3 linked regions of the Nothobranchius furzeri genome follow. The protein of the gene in region 2 purifies or fractionates together with the protein of the main gene of each other region. This does not show direct contact. Links are inferred from orthologs where the notes say so. Each region holds a gene or a part of one and is shown on either strand. Other genes may lie near its edges.

Region 1 (4,203 bases), on a different chromosome or scaffold from region 2:
ATGACTATTTTGAAATGGCAAACAGTAGCTCAGGAGATAGAGCCGATTGTCCAGAAGGGCTGTAGGATTGATCTTCTGCTGTTGTGTCCTTGGGCAAGACATTTAACCCACCTTGCCTGCTGGTGGTGGTATGAGGGACTGGTGGCACCAGTGCTAGACAGCCTCACTTCCATCAGTGCACCCCAGGGCAGCTGTGGCTACATTGTAGCTAATCATCACTACCGTGTGAATGTGTTTGTGCATGGGTGAATGCAAGGATGTGGTTTTGACTTTAGACATGGGGGATGTCTAGATGAAGAACGAGGCTCTGTCCTTTACTTCCATTCTCATTTATCTAGCATCGATTAACAAGGGCTGCCTATAGGTGTGCATAAGCCTTGATTACCGATATGGGATTGAATCCACCTGAGAATCGTTTGTGGCGCCGGCGAATCTGGGAGGGGAGCGCCTGATCAAGCAGGGATTTATCAGGAGATCCCGATGATGAAAGCACATCCTGTTTACAACCTGGAACGACAACAAGAATGGCCAATCACACGTTAGTAAGTATCAGCAGAGCCAATAGATGAGCTCATGGATGGTTCTAATGAGAAACAGGCGTAAACACAAGTGGTTGTTTTCTGCTTGGTCCTAGTGGTCAACCAATGTCTATTTAATACAGCGTGATATTGTTTTTGGATGGTAAAAAGTGAAGAGGACAAAAAAATGTCATTGGAAAACATTGGGGGAGGGGGTGGGACAGGTGAATGACTGATTGTGTTGTGAAGTGCCTTGGAGGGTTGTAGAACTCTAGAAGGTATATGAGAACACATGCAGGCCATTTACTATAAATAAATAAAGATGTGTCAGAAGTGTCCTACATTTTGTTCCGATTTCAAAACACAGGTATGTTTAGTTTTTCAGTAACTGAGCATCTTTTTAAAATTTTGATTAAACAAAATCTTTTATTTGCATTTGATTTATCATTTTTAATTAATCCTCTCATGATTCATGAAGTCTGAAATTTATGACTTGCAGACCTATATTTGAATAACATTGCCTAAGCATTCTATGAAACAACCTTGATAAAGAATGCATAAAACAGCAAAACCTCTTTCTACGGTCACTGAGCAAAACTAAATTTCTGAACACGGCCAGTTTCAAATGATAATGTTCAGTTCTAATTATATAAATGTTGACAGGAAGAATTTTAATTGTAATATGGATGACAGGTTTTTATGTTGTTATTATTATTTATTTGTAGTTTCAGTTTGCAATTATAGTTTTTTTTTCAGTAGCTGTCCATCTTCCGCCCTCCCTGGCTGCATATTTGCTGCTAAGCTCATCTCTTTCCATACTTGGCAATGCCTTTCTTGCTCCGTCGCTATTGGCTGATGCAAACTAACCCCCAGTGACCCGGATGTACAAGCGGGGCCTGTTTTCTCACCGCAGCCTCCTTCCTATAGCCCGGGTTGAGGAAGTAAATTTCGCTGACAGGGCTGGGTTCAGAAAGGGAGAGGCGAACAAAACATCTTCCGCGGGGTACTAAGTATAAATAAAAACGACAAGAGACCAGAGAAGTACGTTGGCAAATCACCACAAAGCTAAGGTGTACAGTCATCGGTGATATCGATCCCCGCTGAGACCGCCGCAGACATGGTAAGGCCCTCGGAGAAGCTGGTTGGAGATGGGGTTTTAGGCTTTGGCTGCGGTTGCTTTTTCACTCAGCTGCTGGTTGGAGGAGCTGGGTGGTAATTTGAGAGGAGCACGGAGCACAAATCACTGAGTGCATCCAACTTGCGTGGCTAGCAGAACTTCTGCGTGGCGAAAAGTATTATTTAGCTTCATGGCTAAGTTGCTAGTTAGCTTCCTGCTAACAGTAGTCAATCTACTTGCCTCATAGGTAAAGTTAACACAGGATGTTTTGTATTTGACACAAGTTTGCTACAGCAGGGATCAATCCTAATTTAGCTCTCTCTCTCACACACACTCACACAGTTCATCCACCCTTTTACTCTGGCTGAAACAGCCAAGCACGGAGTGGCTCGCAGCTAAAATAAGAGCGCTTGCTCCTACTATTTCTAATCATGACAAGTTGGCTGCCTTTCTCTACATTTTCCTGGATAGGTCTGACACCCAGTCCAGCCCAGTCTCCATGTTCACATGACTTATTTTTAGTCTAATTTTATTCTCGTCAGCCTTAAAATATGGTTACCTTTGTATGTTATGTCAAATTAATCCATAAAACATCATATTGAACTAAACAAAATGACAGAATTTTTCTAACTGTTTAATCTATTGAATTGTATGAACCCCAGATATGTGTGAAAATAACAGCAAAAGTTACAAGGGTTAGAATATTAACTGTTAATGAAATTATTTAAAAATGTAATAAAACAGTTGCTGCAATATTTTTCTATGTTTAGCAACATATTTTAATGTTCTAAGTTTTCCAAACTCTCTGTAAGCCTTTTTTTAGTCTCGTGGTGACTCCAGAGAACCAAAAAGATGCTTGTTATTTATCTGAATTACTAGTTTGACAAGACTCATTCACTTAACACCGCATGAGTGCTTGTTCCATTCAAGTGATATCAAACAGGTTTTCCATAACACTGAGATAATATGAATCTCTTTTCTGCTTCAGTTAATTTGTTGCCCAAAGTTTCAGCAACTCGCGTTTGTTTCCTGACAAAAGTTCAAACACACAATACAATGCAGAGGGTGGCATTTGTTAATAGATATGATGCTTATCTCTTAAAATTCAAACGTATTTGTTTTCTACTCAAACCCTTTTACTAGCTTCATTTTACATCCAGTTTTTTAGCATTTTCTTTCCACAAGTAGGCAGCATGACTGTTTGACGTCAACAGGAACTAAACCAAGTAGAACAGCTGCCCCCGTCTTTAGTCTGTTCTCCTATGACCCCAGAAGTTGCTCGTCTGATCGGTGTTTACATGAAGACAGCAGCACTTGTAAATGCATTGTCAAGAAACACGGGTGTTTAATGAAGCAGAGTGATTCATCAGTTAGAAATTGATTTTAAAAAGTGACCTTTGTGACGGGAGATTTTATGCGAGACACTTCCTATAAACATCTGTTATGTTCTGTTTTAGCCTTAATGAAAATATTTATGCTCAGAGGGCTCTCTGCTTTGTAGCATGTCATTATTCTTGTACCAGATGGTTGATGCATTCTTATGTACTTTAGTATGTTTGCACACTTCAGGTGTGGATTACCCATGTTAGATGGTTTTGTTTACATCTGTAAGGGAAGTGAATTAATCTGGTATAACACATTTTGTTGAGATAGGGGTTTGTTTGTTTGTTTTTCTTCTGTTTCAACATACTTTATTGTTGGTTTATAGGAGCATTGGATTGGGTTTTGTGTCGTTTGTCATTCTTGTTAGCAGAGCTTACATTTATCAGCGGTTCAACTTAGTTCACAAAGACAGAGGAAGAGAAGTCTCAGAACGCTTTACTCATCTCTCTGCACACACACACAGGTGAGACACATTACCTTAAATTTCATCTGACCAACCTGTTTGGAGTCAGGAAGTCACGTAAGCACTCTTAACACCTTCAAAATAAAAGCATGACAAAAACGAGAGCGTAAAAGAAGCATATACATAGCTCAACAATTCTTTGACTTTTTTGCAAACTAAGGGCACACATAGGTGTAATCTGTTGTGTTTTAGTGTATATTTTAGCACCTTAACTATGTAAGTGCTGGAGCAATAAGATTTACATGTGATCTCTGAAGACTTTGTTTCTGTCTGTCTGGTAAAGGTTGGATGAAAACATGTGTAGACACTTCTGCAGCCTGTTATCTCACCTTAAAAATGTCACTCCTTAAAACAGTTTCCTGTTGCAACTGGTCTGCCCACTAAGGTCCTGTCTCATATGGCAGTCTAGGTTGGGCTGGCCCATCTCTGCGCAGCCAGGTTTTGTTCACACAGCCTTCTCAGGGAATTAGGGGTGTAAGAAAATATCGATATGGCAATATATCGTGGTATTTTTTCCTGTGATTATTACATCGATATTCAAAAGCTGTGTATCTCATTCTTGAAAGAATTTACATGCAAACATTTGTGCATTTTCTTTTCGTTTTGTGCAATTCAATCGCCACCCGCTAGTTGGCAGCAGTGTGCAACAGGTTTTGTTTCCACCACTGAAATGTAAATCCCTCCATCATGGTTCTGATACCTCACGTTAAACATGTTGCGTA
Region 2 (4,297 bases):
ACATTACTTAAAAATAGCCTAAATGTAAAATAATAATAATTATAAAAAATAAATAAAATAATAATAATAATAATAATAATAATAATAACATAGGAAAAACAATAAATTTACTGTTTATTTTTATTTAGTTGGGTGTCTTAAGATTTCTTTTTTTTTTTTCAAAATAATCGTTTTCTTGTAAAATTCTTTGAGCAAACATAAAAAAGTTATTGTGGCGCTATAAGTAGGTATAATTTATGCCCGTTTAGACATTTCATCATTATTTTTAACATTACTACTACTACTACTACTACTACTACTACTACTACTACTACTACTACTAATAATAATAATAATAATAATAATAATAATAATAATAATAATAATAACAACAAAAACAATAATATCTGCCCATCCATCCATTGTCTTCCACTCAGTTCAGGTTGCAAGGGCAGTAACCTAATAATTATTATCAGGCTATACATTAGTCTCAAAATATTATTACTAATCTTGGAATAAAAATGTTAGTCGGACAGTTTATGCATGATAACAACCTCACTGTACCTTGTACAGTGACAATAAAAACATTCATTCATTCATATCACATAGGCCTAGATAAACTATATTTTACAGGACTGGGATAATTACACAACATTATGTAAATGTCACGCTTGTATTATTAAAAATGTAAATGACATTATATATATATATATATATATATATATATATATATATATATATATATATATATATATATATATATATATATATATATATATATGAATATATGAATGTGTTATAAAGTGTCAGAGCATTGAGTCCTGAGATCATAGATTGAAAAGTTGCATTAGGGCTAGGGTTAGTGTGTAGGACATATGTATATGGGAAATATCATATATAATATGATAATATGTTCATAGGAACATGATGGAAATATCATATATATACATATATATATGTATATATATGAATGTGTTATAAAGTGTCAGAGCATTGAGTCCTGAGATCATAGATTGAAAAGTTGCATTAGGGCTAGGGTTAGTGTGTAGGTCTACCTGCCCTTTCCTTTATGTCTTTACTGGTGGTTGATCTGCTTGATGCAGAGCTGAGATTCCTTCTGCTAATGATGGGATAACACAAAATGCATTCGTTTAAGAAGGATGAAGAGAAGGCACAAAGAGCCTGGACAGTAATCCACTGGCTGCCAGATGTGACCCAGTTTCATGCCAACTATGATTTGTTGTCATGAGGCTGAAATCTCTCAAAAAATAATGAAATAAAACTCTTAAATCATGATTAGCATAAAAACACTTTCGCCACGTATTTTATTTCATCTTGAAGGGAACGTGAGGTCACGGGTTTGGGGCGGGTCCGGTCGCTGTAGTCTACTTCCTGTTTCTCTTCTCCGGCTTCGCCAGATCAGCTGCTCCGGTCGTCTCAGTCCGAAAGACACTATGTCACATCAAACGGGCATTCAAGGTGCGCAACTATCGTTATGCTGCCAGTACTCGTGGTTTTATCGACTTTCCTGAATTAATGTGTATTTAACAGGATTACTTTTGAGCGCTTGCATCCAGAAGCTTGCGCTAAGTTAGCTAGCCTTTAGCGAGTTAGCTCCGTGCTACTGTGATTTTGCGCTAAATTAGCTAGCTTTTAGCAAGTTCGCTCCGTGCTACTGTGATTTTGCGCTAAGTTTAGCTAGCCTTTAACAAGTTAGCTCCGTGCTACTGTGATTTGTGTCAGCGCTCATGCTCAGTTTGGACCCTGTTGGACTGTTTGGACAGTTTTGTATATATGTCGATGGTTTGGACCCTTTGGGATGAATCTAAGCGTCTCTTTGCCGGTTTATGAGGCATTTCAGAAGCGGGCTTGTTTTTCAAAACCTTTTATTTGCTCTGTTTTAAATGTCACTTGTATTTAGAGTTTTTTTAACATCAAACTGGAGACCTGTAAAGCTAGTTTTAGTTCTGATGGATGGGCAACGCCTTCTTCTTTAACCAACCTGTCACACTGACAGGTTATTGACGGTGGCAATAACTTTTGTTATAATGTTACAAAACATTGTAAATCAGGCGCAGCCTTGTGCTGGTCTGTGTGCATTCACAAATGACTGTTTTTATTTACAAAATATGCAAATGAGAGGAAGTTAGTTTCAGGTCTTTAGGAAAGGAAATTAGTATTTTTAAGCCCTTCTTACCAACTCTAGAAGCTGTGAGTGAAATATTTGCTGCAGCAGCTCTTAAATACCCGTCCCTCTCCTATCCAAGAGCTGTGTTTGTTTAAAAACAATTTCAGACCATGTTTAATGTCTTTCTTTCTCAGCGGGTAATGATGTGAAGGAAATCTTTGCCATTGCCAAAACCGGAGACCGGTATCGAGCCCTTAAGATCGTCATTGAGGATGGTAAGCTTTGTTTACACCTCTGTCTGCCAAGAACCATTAAAACTTTGCATTTGCATAAACATTTGCAAAACTCCTGACATTAGAAATGCCTGCATGACAAATCTGTGCATCACTGACATTTTAGTTTGCACACATCTGGTTTCCAGAGCAGCTGGTTCTAGGCAGCACCAGGAAATCATCAAAGACGTGGGACCAGGAATATGATTCCTTAGTGCTGCCGCTGCTGGAGGATGGTTTACCCTGTTATATTCTGTACCGGCTGGACTCCATTAACAACCAGGGCTACGAATGGATCCTTCTGGCCTGGTCACCGGACCACTCTGCTGTAAGGAAACTTTGCCCAAAAAGGGCTTTAATGAATAGCTCTCCATCTTTTGTGGTGTTTTCACGTGGGTGAGGCCCACCACATCAAAGCAGCTAGTCTTTATGTGCTTTCATACCTTCTTAGCAAACTTTTGAAAACTTAAGATGGCTAAATCATACTTCCTAAATGATTCAGCACTTTGCTTCAAAGCTTCCTCCAGCACCACTCATTTTCTGCATTCAGATTAGAGATCCGGCCAAATACAGCGATTTAAAACTGTTTCTGGTTTTTTACGAAAACCTGGCTAAATAGTCACTGCCTGTTATTGTTTGGTTTCATTGAAACTTGACAAACAACTTGGAAGAGGCTTCCCCAGAGAAGGCCTGACAAATAAACAAAAGTGGTTTCTGTAGCAGTGAAAAGAGAAATGTAGCAGGAAGACACCAAAGATCAGAAGGATGTTCGTAGCTTTCAATCAGGTCAGAACTGAGCTAAGATTTCCATTCTGAGTCATACGACTCATCCTAACATTCCCACCCCCAGCTCAGAGCATTCTGCATCAGGTTCAGGCTTGTCTAGAAGTTGCTAAATAATTTCAGAACCAGTGTTTGCATGCATGCCGCTGCAACCTCAGCTGGACTGGCCTTTTTCCCACTTAAGATGATCCTATCTATGTCGAAGCCTTGGATCATAGAAATAATTAAGAAAATATTGGGAGCTCGTTGTTTTACTGCAGGAAAGAAGGCTGTTTAAAATCAATGAAGAGTCTGAATTGCTAACTTCAACGATGTTCTTGAGGATAGACGAGTACCTTAATGCGGTCAGTGCCTTTTAGTGGGACCAAGATCATTTCCTCACAGACTCCTCGCGTTTAGCCGTCAACCGCAGTGTGTTTGCATCTTATGCCACTGCTGAATGCTAAGGTACTCTATCAAAAACGGATCTACATGTGGACGTTTTTACTTGTTAAGATAATCAGAAGTGTTTGAAGAAGGCATTCTAAAGTTCTTTAGAATACGTCCGAATCGTTCAAAAGAGAGATTTAAGAAAATCTTGATACACTGATATATCGTGATATTTTGTTTTATGATACTGAATCCATTTTTAAAATCAGTCAATAGATTTTGTTTTAAAAGAAAATTTACATGCAAACAATTACTTTATTTTGTATGGTGCAATTCAAACTCTGACTGCTAGGGGGCAGCAGTATTTGCCACCTTCATTCTGACAGTATGTTCTCACCATAAGTCTGAATGTCTTGGAAGCTTCTGAACTGAATTTGCCAAAGTTTAAAGTTGTAAACATCATCTAGAATTCAGTATCGTGACCCATCATATCGTCTCTCCTTTATTGTGATCTATATCATGTTAAAATCTGTATCAGCAGGTCAAAACAGTAAAACAGGTGGAAATCATAACATCCCTTGTTTATATTAAAAACATTTATATATATATATATATATATATATATATATATATATATATATATATATATATATATAAGCTGTTTAGAGTCAACAAGACCACACGCTGGTCTTGGCTGCACTTGTTCTCGATGACATCTCACCAATCACCAGTCTTAAAAGCTGTACTATGCAATTTTTCATATAAA
Region 3 (4,338 bases), on a different chromosome or scaffold from region 2:
CTTAAAACATAACCTGCAGGCTCTCTTCAGAGTGAAACACAACTCTGGAAACAGCTGCTCTGCTGCTCCAGCCGCCATTTTCATCTTTTGTCGGCCTGCCAGGAGTGACTCGACAGGTAATGGCTTCCCTCAACAGCTGGAGGGGTCAAAGGGCCTGCAGCTAAGCAGCGGCTGCATTCCTGAAGGTCTGCCGACGGTTTGATTTTAGATAACCTGGATTTGTTTGTTAATCAGGAGCAGAGATCCTGCTCAGGAACAGGAATAAACTCGGGAAAACAGTGGAAGCAGCAGCATTTCTGCCTTTTCCATCCGTCTAAATATTATTATTTGGTTAATTTCAGTCACACATTTGTTCGTTCGCTCTGAAGGTTTGACCAAAAACTTGTTTATTCATTAAAAACACAGTTTATAATCGCGACACACCCAGCATTACAGCCGTTGTGTTTTTGTTTTAGTAGAAACCAAAAGTTTGTTAGATTTGTTTGTTTCGTTTAGAATTACAGGTAGTCGATACGATATCAGGATAAAAAGTAGATCTACCGGGGCTTGGCGGGCAGTCAGACACGGGTTCGTGCTGAACTCGGTCACGAGTGAACGGGTGAAGCGAGGAAATGAAAAGTGTTGATCCACGTCTGAACTGAATGTCAAATCCTTCCCTTTGGCACGTTTTCTGTTTTCCTTTTACTTTGCAAACGGTTTCCAAATAAAGTTTATTCATCAACTTTCCGAGCCCAGCGGTGACAAATCTGAGTTTTCCTTTAACTAAAGGTCGATTATTACATTTTACTTTTAATCCTCGGTTTTTAATCATTACTTCACCGCTCAGGTTGTTTTCTGTCCTTAGCGGTTTGGTGTGAGTGCTGATCGGTGAGATCATCACAACCCTGGACCGTTTCTCTCCAGAGAAGGACGACAGAAGGGCAGAGGGTCACGTTTGGGGGGGCGTTCCATATTGTTTGAGGTCAGCGGTGTTTGGAAGTCTCTGCCTTTGTTCAGATCCTATCAAGTGTGAAAAACGGGGGCAGGCCCGCGGCCTCAAACATCACCCGAGCTGCTCCGAGTCCACGCTGACGGAACGCTGCACAGCTTCTGACCACTCGGCGGTTTCAGGAACCCTCCCGCTTCCCGTCAGAACTCCTCACCAAACAACTGATCACCAAAACAACAGTTCAGAGGTGAAAACGTTTCCGCACAAAGCTCCTGGACTGACAGGACATTCCCGAAATTCCTTCACTGAGATTTTAGGTGATTGTTAGGAGGAAGTCGGCACCGAAACCAGAGACAAACCAGGACCAGAACCCTAAACAGAAAGAAGAACCGGTTCCTCCATTAGAGGTCATCTGACCCGGTTCACACCAACAGATGTTTCACGGTACAGATGGAGCCTGAGCTGTGATTTCCCACCGGACCACCTGAGAGGAATGTTTTAAAGGTCCAAACTCCAGGAAGAGCCTCAGCTTCTGAAAATAATCCACATCCTTCCTCTTTTGGTTTTGTGTTCAACAGAAAGCGGAAGAAGGACGCGCCTGCAGACAAATGACAAGGACCTTGTTTGGACTTTGGGATTCACCTGAAGCGTTCCTGTTCTGGTGCCTGACCTCCGATTAGGGTCATTGGAAAGGTCAGCATCAAAGTCTGGACAAATGGCTGAAAACTAAATGTTTCACTTCTATTCTGAGATTCACCCCAAAAGAGACATCTGGTGATCGGAATCGGCAGAAACCGGCATCAGGGAAACTCAAACATTAGATCCCAGAACCATAATTTACAAGTGAGTCTGGGGTTAATCTGCTGATTTTAGGGCTTTGAGATAAAAGAATATCAGGTCAGCAGTACAGAAATCGGTATTGGCTCCTAAAACCAGGATCTGTGCACCAGTGGGTCAAATCTGGCAGGAAGTCCAACGTGTCAGATTAGCCGTTAGCTCGTTTGTCCTGGAGGACGTAATCTCCATTTCCCTGAACAGAGGCTGCTCCTGCATGAGCTCTTTACAACTTTTGCAGATTTTAAAACGGCAGAATATCCGGTTGGCTCCACACCGGACTCGGAACATGTTTTAGGACATTTGCCGTTTTTTCTCTCACTTTCAGTTTATCGGACCTTGTCATCGGAAATTTCAGTTTGTAAATCAGTTTCAAAATTGAATCCAGCAGCAGGATACAGCAGGTCCTGGACCTGTCCTCAGCCCGAGGACACGCTGGAGGACGGGTCAAACCAGAAGAACGGGACTGGAGCTGGGAGGAAAACAAATCAGTCCAGAGAAAACTTTAAATGTCCTTCAGAAAGTCTGGAAAACTGTTGAAGACCTCAAGGAAGTCTGGGAATAAATCCTCCAGAACTGAGCCTGGATAAGTTCTGGTCCCATTCCCAAATCCACAGGAGTGATGATGGAGGCCCCTCACCCCTCCTCACCCCCTCCCACCGGCCTCGCCCCTCTCCTCCCTCCCTGTTTGAGGGATGGTGGATCATTATCTCCGGACCAGGCCCAGCTCCCTCAGCCCAGCCCGGTTCCGTCTCAGAGCAGCATGATGGGTCCGGCCGGACTCTGCAGCTCGGGTCGGGTCAGGTCGGTTCAGACTCAGAACAAACTCAGTTCTAACGGATTTCCTCACTTTTATCAAACCAGAACCGGGTCCTGCACCTGGACCGTGTTTCGGTAATCCGAAACAGTACAACTGTGATGAAGATGATGCCCCTCCATCATCACCCTCCTCATCCTCGGCGCCACAAACCCGGAGAAAAGCCCGGAACACGGAGAGACGCAGCGCGAGAGCCCGGTTCGGTAAGCAGAACTCACCAGTCGGTGTCGGAGGTCTCGTCTATGACGTCCTGGTAGGCGGTCAGCAGGGCCAGGCGGTTCTTGGACAGATTCACGGCCATGTTTGAGTCCGCGTGAGCATCCAGACCGCTGCTGATGGAGAGAGAGTCGGAATAAACCCGAGCGGGGAGGCGGGGGGAGGAGGGGGAGGTGATGGTGCTGACTGGTGGAGACAAAGAGGCGAGGGAGGTGTCCGGTGGGTCCTAGAGCCCACCGCACCCAATCAAAACGGCAGGCTTCTCAAGCAAGGGGTGGCGAATCGATCCCAGCAGGGTTGGGGGGGGGGGGGGGGGGTTATAAAAATCTACGGGCTTTTTTGGTCTTTATCAATCAAAGATACTTTATTAATCCCAGAGGGAAATTAGAGTTTCAGTACACACAATTCAGTGATCAGACATAGATGGGCAAGACACATGACAAGAATTGGTGACTGTGGTCATTCGCAACCACAGTCGCACTACCTTAATAGAGATAAGAGGGGTTACATGAGGATTGGTTCAGGTGGAGGGAAAAAGAGGCACTTCAGAGTTACCCTCCCTACAGGAGGGCAGCTTTGCTCTGCAAAAAAAAAAAAAACACCTCAAACATATATGCAACAGACTTCAGACAACACAAGTGTCCACTAGGTGGGGTGGTGGGTTGGGACTATTCCCATTTCAGTTCCTGCAGCCACGATAGAAGCAGCGCATGTCACCTCAGTGTGGATAGGGAGAGGAGCATTGAGGGTTGGACATCGACATACATATATGGACAATGGGTTTCCATAGACTCCAATAACACGTTTTTGTACTAAAATGGAGGTGGCCACCACCGCCATTTTGACCGTGTCACAGGTTCCGTCAAGCCCAGACAATTCCATAAAAGGGAAGAGAGGAGGAGCTAAGGGTGGGGCTGTAAGGCTGGGATCAACTGACGACACCCGGTCGAACTAGCTACAAGCTAACCTGAAGCTAACCCAAAGCTAACGCGGAGGTGGGAGCTAAGATAATGGAGGTAGCAACCTAGCTACAACCGGAGTTAACTGTGCACAACACCAGAGCTTCTGAGTCAGAGATACGCCAGGTTGACCGCTGGGTAAAACCGGGTGGAACACAGAGGTCTCCGAGACCTCCACAAGCCGGCAGCCGCACAGCAGACAAGCGCCTCTGTGATCTGAGATGTGCAGAGCTGCCGCTGGGGAGAACCGGGTGGAAAGGTTTCCATCCCAGGGCTCCACAAGTCATCAGCCCGCGCAGCAAACAGAAGCTGCGATCAGACAGAGATGCACCGAGCTGCGGGGAGGGGAGAACCGGGTGGAAAACAGAGGTCTCCCGAGAGCTCCACAAGCCGATAGTCGGAACCCAGCTCCACCAACATGTTATATTTCAACCCATTTTCTAAAGTGCAGCATTATGTTAAATGCACTGGGTTTTACCCTATTACATTTAAATGTCATGGTTAAACAGTACATGTTAAAATCTAAGCTCAGCTCGGCAGTGACCTAAAATACATAAATATAATTTTACTTACCAAAAAAAATG

Evidence for each region.
Region 1: the proteins of twf1a (region 2) and capzb purify together in Homo sapiens (affinity purification with mass spectrometry; 3 studies listed by BioGRID and IntAct, with this or other methods). This does not show direct contact. The link is inferred for Nothobranchius furzeri from reciprocal best matches to the Homo sapiens genes TWF1 and CAPZB.
Region 3: the proteins of twf1a (region 2) and dbn1 purify together in Homo sapiens (affinity purification with mass spectrometry; 3 studies listed by BioGRID and IntAct, with this or other methods). This does not show direct contact. The link is inferred for Nothobranchius furzeri from reciprocal best matches to the Homo sapiens genes TWF1 and DBN1.

The regions. Positions count from the first base shown.
Region 1 is NC_091743.1:46,416,950-46,421,152, forward strand, and holds the start of capzb (F-actin-capping protein subunit beta), read left to right. Parts: upstream 1-1,403; 5' UTR 1,404-1,635; coding exon 1,636-1,638; intron 1,639-4,203. UniProt on the Homo sapiens protein: F-actin-capping proteins bind in a Ca(2+)-independent manner to the fast growing ends of actin filaments (barbed end) thereby blocking the exchange of subunits at these ends.
Region 2 is NC_091744.1:60,882,917-60,887,213, reverse strand, and holds the start of twf1a (twinfilin-1a), read left to right. Parts: upstream 1-1,323; 5' UTR 1,324-1,433; coding exon 1,434-1,458; intron 1,459-2,301; coding exon 2,302-2,382; intron 2,383-2,528; coding exon 2,529-2,707; intron 2,708-4,297. UniProt on the Homo sapiens protein: Actin-binding protein involved in motile and morphological processes. Inhibits actin polymerization, likely by sequestering G-actin. By capping the barbed ends of filaments, it also regulates motility.
Region 3 is NC_091750.1:70,967,652-70,971,989, reverse strand, and holds the start of dbn1 (drebrin), read right to left. Parts: upstream 2,957-4,338; 5' UTR 2,881-2,956; coding exon 2,798-2,880; intron 1-2,797. UniProt on the Homo sapiens protein: Actin cytoskeleton-organizing protein that plays a role in the formation of cell projections. Required for actin polymerization at immunological synapses (IS) and for the recruitment of the chemokine receptor CXCR4 to IS.